Bombyx mori: one gene and its partner. The protein of the gene in region 2 interacts with the protein of the main gene of each other region in a pairwise test. Links are inferred from orthologs where the notes say so. Each region holds a gene or a part of one and is shown on either strand. Other genes may lie near its edges.

Region 1 (3,996 bases), on a different chromosome or scaffold from region 2:
TAGAGCTCATTGGAAGAGCGAGATAGCTGTCGTTCTGTCGCAGACTCTTCGGCAAAAGATTGAGACTATAAATTAATGTTTCAAGGCAGATACCTGCAGGATGCATTTACGTTGTGATATCCACGGAAACCCCCACTATCAGCAGATCGGCAAGTCCCACATACCCCGCGCGCCCTCGTAGGAGGTTCGCCCACCGGCCCGAAAAAAAAACCAGGGAAGCTGGTAACCGTTTAACATCGAAGCAGTTTAGGATACGAAGTCACCTCTACGAATTGACTCTTACGTAACGTAACTTTATTGAAACTTCTGAGAAAGACCTCTAAAAAAGATATTTTGTGAGCTCCTCCGAGATCATATATTGCAAAAGGCTGGTCAGCGCTTTATAGATTAGAGGCTCAAAATAAATGTTGTTTCGATTTCAAATCGCGAGATGAACGTTCACATTCGGCGTTGCGTTGTGGTGTCTTTGTCCTATTAGTGAGCAAACGAGGTCACAGCTCATCTGGTGATAACAAGATATAAATTTAGATGGTTACCGCCACCCACCCACATTTTACACACGAGTCGACCTCATTTGCAAAGCGCTATGCAACAAAAGCGGCACGAGGAGGTCCGAAGACCAAGGTCAGAAAGAAAGAAAGAAGAAGAAAGAAACGCAGAAACGAAAGAAGTGACGCTTATTCGGCGTACGCGGGCTGTTGTTGATATGTTAATGATGGTTAATTGAAAAATCTCTAAGCAGTGCTTTGCATTTCCCTGGATAGCAGCATCATTCTACCGGGCGGGCCGATACACCCATTTCTATTTCCTACGAATTAAAATAAAAACGCATTTAGTAAGTACCTACATTGTGCTGAAAACCTTATAGCTAGGTTGATAGCTTCAAGTCCCTTATTATTATTATTAAGTATGTAAGTAGTGCAATAAATGGTGGCATCAATAATGCCAACAACCAGGTGTATTTCAAAAGGACTGCCATACATTAGCACATCTGAACAAGCTTCATGGCATGTTGTCTTGAGAAAACAGCGGTACACGCCTAGTCTTAAATATTTGATGGCTTTATTGAGATACACCGACAATACAATGACCGACTATACTACATGTGCCTTAAAAGGGTTTTTTAACAGTTATGAGAAAGCAGTTAAAAACAACAACCATTGTTAAGAATGAATTAAAGGCTATCAAAATTTTTTTGTGAAACGTTTTTATTCGTAGACGTCAAAGATTTAATGATTTCAACATTTATGTCTTTATGATCCGAATTTCAACCTTAATCTAACCACATTGTGTGTACATAACTTTAGCTCAAATGAATTTAAAAAAAATGACCTAAATATGTAGCGCAAGGTATTCGGAACAATGTGAATTATTTGAACAAACAATGTGTCAGAGCGAACACGGACGCAGCTATGACGCAGAACGGAGACAAACTTCACGACTAAATTAATACCGTTATCGAACAAACTTCTGAACTAAACTATTATAATCGGACATTGGAGTACACTTCGCACGACTTGCGGCCGTATATTATTATGTTAATCATTTCCATACTAATTGTAAACGGAGAGTTCTTTTATCGTGCCCACTTCTTGAAGATAAGATAAAAATGTCATTTGTGTCTCTTCGTTGCAACTATAGAGCCGTTTTTTAGTTATCGTTTTTTCTCGTTATTTTAACATTTTTGTGATGTAAAAAGTGGAAATGAAAAGTGATGAGGTGTTTGTATGCAGTTTTTTTGAGAAATGTTAGATTCACGTACGGTTGCAGTGATGCATAACGCTAGGCCTCTCGATGTTGCTGAAACAGGTGAACGTCACAGAAATCGGTCATCATCGTGGACGTCAAGGCGATGGCAAAATGGTCTTTTCAGACAGGAACCAAGATATTCACTGCAATGTCAGGTAAAGGAATAAAAGGTTTTTTTTAAATTATATTCTAATAATATTTCTATGAGTTTTAGATGTATATAATGAATCTTGGATAGAAGGCTTATTTAATTTAGAAGTCAATACGAAATTAGACCCCCGAAAAACATTATTTTAAATATGAAATGATGAACCAGTTTCATAATGATAAAATCATGACCGATAGCAAAACACGTGATTAGATGATCGCGGCACGTATGTTTAATTTTAACGGGGATTTCCTACCAGAACAATATTAAGCTTATATTTGGAAAGTATTTAAAATTTTCCTTATTAGTTAAGATTACGATTCTATGCAGACAATATTTGATATAAAAAATATATTTTTCCAAAATTTGTTTTATACGAAACTGCGTGGAACGGAGTGTAATGCGACAACAATACTTGCGTTTCATGATTTGGTGTCATGAAAAGTAGACATTTCAAGCATTACAAAGGATAGGAAATACAAAAGATTCCATATGTGAAGGTGAAATGTTCGTTTAAAAAAATGTTTCTTTTTGTTAACGAGTTGTCATGTTTGTTTGACAGTCACATCTGTCAAAAGGTGTGATTTAATTACCGTAGCAATTTAGTTTTATTGTTTCGCGTTGGATGTATTTCTTAACAATTTAGATTATATTGTTGTTAAATTTTTTTTACAATACATAACCAATATCAGTACCAATGTGAACAAAGTGTTAGACAAGTTGTGAAATAAATGTGAATAGTAATTAGAAAACGTGTCAACATTTCAACAACTGTTGTTTGCGACTTTTACGTTGCTTAAGGAATGTGAAGTATTTCATATTCCTTTTTATAATCATTAAATCTTCACATGGGTGATGGCTTGGCAGTCGGATACGCGTGTAAGTTTATAAAAAAAATATAACATTCGGTATTTAAATTAAAAATATCGTGGTAACATAAAATGTCCTTGTAAGTCTAAAGTTAAATGCGTTTTATTTTGCGGAACGGTCTTAATTTATTCAGTTTTTGTAAATGTACGGACGAGGATTATTATCAATTTTCAGGGTACACTCTAAAATGTGTAGGCGTCGAGGTTAGGCGCTAATAGGATTTGTTGTCTGGGTCTTCAAATCCGACCGATATTAACAAAAAATAATTCAAAAAGAGACTCATATATTCGTCCTCACGAGATAGGTAATTATGAATATGTATGATTACATTCAATCACTTCATCTCAAATGGGAGAACACAAATTGTATACTCTGTATGCTTAGAAACAAATATGGTTTTGTGCTATTTTTTCGTCAGGTGTCCTCTCTACTACTAGATTTTGCTGGTTAATACATCATATTTTCCACATCAGTTGTTAAGCCAAACAGCTTTTCAACATAGTATTATCAAATTGATTTCTTGTGGAAACAAAATATTAGTTGACCCATCTCCTGTAATGTTAATCAGTAAGAGTTATTTAATAATTTAAATAAAACCCTGAGATTCAATTTAAATATGTTTTTTTTAATCCATCTACTAGTTCTAAATGTTAGTGCTAGAATTAACAATCATCATACAAGCAAATAGAAGAAAATCACAACTCTGTTATATATTAGGTCAGATACACCTAAAATACTAAAATTCATTTTTTTTTCTGTATGTACTGTACATTGAACAGTTATGCTTTTGTTATGTTATAAAATAATACACAGAGATGTTACAAGGTCATACAATATTATAACTACAATCAATAATGCATAATTAATAATTCAATTTCCATAAGTGATCACATCAAAGTTTAATTAATATTTGTTTAAAATATAAACAATACAATTTGTTGCTTAGCTAACTATACTGCACAAGAAACAAAAAAATGGGAAATATTTTTTAAAGATATTGTCAGACATGTGGTGGTTCCATGAACGGGTATATAATATGTTCTTAACCATAATATAATATGATCGTTGTTGATGTCTCCAGTCATCGTTCACGTCGAATCCGTTGCTTGCGACGAAGGGCTCGACGAGTAAATTAACCCTCGGGCACAACCCACTAAGTTTCTCACCGGATCTTCTCAGTGGGTCACATTTCCGATCCAGTGGTAGATTCTGTGAAGCTTCAATAAATT
Region 2 (3,500 bases):
AATGGGAAACTTATGGGAAAAATATCATATCCGTTACAATACTTGTCATTTTAAAGTAATAATTAAACGTCTTTCTCCTTCAAAATACTTATTATTTTTCCATATTTTATTGATTACTGATGATAGTCATATAGGTAAAGATGAACTTATTGAAATACAGATTTATGCATGTAAGCAGTAACGTATACGAATACCAAAATTAAGAATTCTGTATATTTAAAAAAAATATTGTTAACTTAGTAAAAAAAAAATCACACTCTGTATATGTTTTTCAAGTTACACACCTCCGCGGCCGGTCCGAGTATCGCCAGTACAACCGGGAAGAACAGTAGACCGTCGACGAATCCCAGAACGATGAGAGCCAGTAGTAATTTCAGGAACAGTCTGGCGACGAAACCGAACTCGCTGGTCGCCAGCATCGACGCGGCCAGCGCGGCCGCGACGGCGCCGTGCACCACCGGCGCCAGCACAGACTCCAGCGCGAGCGAGGCCCGACGCCGCTTGCAACCGATCGACGTTACGAAGCCCTGTCAAAGAACACGTTCAATTCATTTAACGTCGACAAAAATACAATATAATTATATTTTTTTGTAAATTTTAATAATAGCTTATTTATCATCGGTCAATTTTCTCGGAACTCTAATATTAATTACTAACTATCACTAAATAATAGTTTGAAAAAAACTAACAAAATACGCTTTTATAGAAAATTCAACTAAAAGATAGAAAATAAATTTTATTAAATTTAAATTAAAAATAGTGTATGAAAAAAAGATTTTATTGTAAAAAAGCGTGGGGTGCATTATACAAGTAGTTATAAATAATTTATGAACAAATATGAGTAGAAGGGTTATTTTGATAATATCCTGAAAAGTGGCCCACGCTTTTTTACAAACTTTTTACACGTTTTTTTAAACTATTATTTATTTTTCATTTTTTAAGTGAATATCAATTTTTCACTCTTTTTCAGTTTTTTTAAAATATGGAATTTAAGTATACCAAATTTCGAGTTAATCCGACGTTTTGAAGAGGGTCAAAATCATGTTCAAAGATTCCGTTACAAACATACATACATACGTCTGAAGCTAATAAAATTAAAAATAACATAAATGGTCATACGCAAATATAAAGGTCAATGAACTCACCAAGCACAAATGGACGGTGAAATGCACTCCTCGACCGATGGCCAGTACAAGTAGGACTGCCGGTATGGCGGACAGCTTAATGCCAAGTAGCGCCATCGTGCCGAGCAACTGGAGCACCAGCACAGCCAGCGCGAGCGTCACGAGCACCGCCGCCCACACGTTCAGCAGCAATACCATTACAGCCTGAAAATAATCGTAGGCTTTTAATTTAGATCATTATGATAATTTCGACAAAGTAATTATTTAAGCCCAAATGGGGTAAAATGAAATTTTGGGGGGTAAAAATAAAACTTTTGTGATTAAAAAGTATATATTGAAGTGAAACTTCTTTAGAATCTTTAAATTTTTAGTTATTGTTTTCTTTTCGAAATAAATATTTTGGGGTAATAATTTAAAAAGTTCCCGGACCGCTGATTTAACACATCACTAACTGACTCGGTGGTGCAGAAGTTTGCGGCTCTGACTATTTGCGCTGAGGGCCTTAGGTTCGATTCCCACATCGGGCAAACAGTTTTGTTTACCCATTGTTTGGGTGTGTATTATCTATATATGCATATATTTAAACAACACAGGGAATCCTAATTTGGGGCCGGATGACCGTGTGTGATTTGTTCCCAGTTATTTATTTGTTTATTATTATTAAAAATGAAATACTTATTTTTGTTAGCTAAGCATTTGTTGTATTAACAAGTTCGTACTTCCGCCGACTGACCGCTCTCGCGTCAAATCAGAGCATTGACCCAGCGCGTACTTCATTGCGGATATAAATCGCGAATCATTTGTTTAATAATGATTTTATCAGGAGCATACGTTTTAGATAATAGCATAAAATTTTCCTGAACTTACCACAAACACAGCAGACAGGGCGCAAGCGAGGGCCAGCGATAACGACGTTCTCAGATACAGATACTGCTCCCAAAACAGGAAAGGAATACCAGACGGGAAATTGGACAATCCCTTCGCTTCGAACTTCAAGCACAGCTCCCTGACGGACGTTATCAAAGCCTTTATACTCTCCGTGTCACTTAACCCTGCCAGGTAAAAGGGCAGCTGGGTATAAATCAAGGGAGACGACTTGGGTATTTCCAGGTCCATGTCGCTAGAAGAGTGCGTCCATTTTTTCGGTTGCGGTTTCAGATTGCCTTGTGACGCTCCGTAGGCCAACGCGTCGTTTGTGGCCCAAGCCGACAAGTAGTTGTAGAACGCGTCCGTGTTGATGATGCCGTCTTTGCCCACAAGTCTATGGCCGCTCGCTCTGTCCGCGGTGATCAGTGACTTGTCGATGGGAGTGTCCACGTGACCCGTCTGCACCATGAGTTTGTATGCTAAAATGGCCTCGTCGCTTGCGTTTTTGCACCAGTACTCCTGAGTGATGCAGCCGCTTTCCACTTCTTTATCGAACACCGCTTGCAGATCTAAGAGCCAGTCGCGGAACAGAGTCAACCAGAATTTCGTGAGGCCGCCGTTGTCGTTCTTTATGATGTTAGGTATCCTGACAAACTGGTCGTGGTATTCGTACAGCAGCCTCTGATTGGTCGGGTACTCGAAGTCGCCCTTTGTGACCGCGTACATGTTGTAGAAGCCAAAGTACTTCTCTTGTCGGTACAAGAATTGGTGTTCGTCAGTATTTTCTGGCACTATGTCGGTGAGGTCTAGGCCGTCCCTGACTTTTGTCGCGCCCCAGACACTGGCCAGTATCACGGCGATCAACGCTAGCATCGATGTTACCTGTAAACGAATACGAAATTTTTTGTAAATAAAAAAAAAGTTACTTTTAATTTATATAGTTAAAAGATAAGGAATGAGTATATCAGAGGAAGTGTGAAAGTAGCCCCGGTGATTGACAAATTATAAAGCGGACGGTGAGCGTGGTATGGATATGTGATGCGTACTCGTAGAGAGGAGATGCGTGTGACTAGGAGATGTATGGAAATGGTAGTGCAAGGTAGAGGGGGAAAAGGTCGACCGAAGAAGACATGGATGGAGTGTGTGAATGACGACATGAGAGAGAGGAGTGTTGAGATGACGGTTGATAAAAGAGAATTTAAGAGAAAAAATCGCTCCTTTGGAGACGCTCGGGCAGCTGTTAGCAAATTTCACCCCTCCTGGCTGAGCCCTTGCTCACCTGCCTGCCCTGGTAAAACTGGAAAGGCCTCCGGGCCACCATTAATCTCTCAAACATATAAAAAAAAATTCGCTGTACCGACCCCACCTAGTGGGGTAAAAGAAAGAAGAAGATAACTAAAAACTACCGTTGTGTGTCGGTGTATAATGTGTATTAAATTGATCAGAAATCGTTTGACTTTCTTAATAGTATGTATGTAGATGTTGTATGAAAATTACCTTCATTGATGG

Evidence for each region. The genes of interacting proteins can lie anywhere in the genome.
Region 1: the proteins of protein patched (region 2) and E3 ubiquitin-protein ligase Nedd-4 interact in a two-hybrid assay, tested with the Drosophila melanogaster proteins (2 studies listed by BioGRID). The link is inferred for Bombyx mori from reciprocal best matches to the Drosophila melanogaster genes ptc and Nedd4.

The regions. Positions count from the first base shown.
Region 1 is NC_085125.1:1,948,421-1,952,416, forward strand, and holds the start of E3 ubiquitin-protein ligase Nedd-4, read left to right. Parts: upstream 1-1,196; 5' UTR 1,197-1,745; coding exon 1,746-1,904; intron 1,905-2,205; exon of another isoform or gene 2,206-2,752; coding exon of another isoform or gene 2,753-2,776; intron 2,777-3,996. UniProt on the Drosophila melanogaster protein: Essential E3 ubiquitin-protein ligase which accepts ubiquitin from an E2 ubiquitin-conjugating enzyme in the form of a thioester and then directly transfers the ubiquitin to targeted substrates.
Region 2 is NC_085111.1:13,390,099-13,393,598, forward strand, and holds part of protein patched, read right to left. Parts: coding exon 3,489-3,500; intron 2,874-3,488; coding exon 1,992-2,873; intron 1,329-1,991; coding exon 1,146-1,328; intron 528-1,145; coding exon 285-527; intron 1-284. UniProt on the Drosophila melanogaster protein: Segmentation polarity protein. Acts as a receptor for the hedgehog protein (hh). Associates with the smoothened protein (SMO) to transduce the hedgehog signal leading to the activation of wingless, decapentaplegic and patched itself.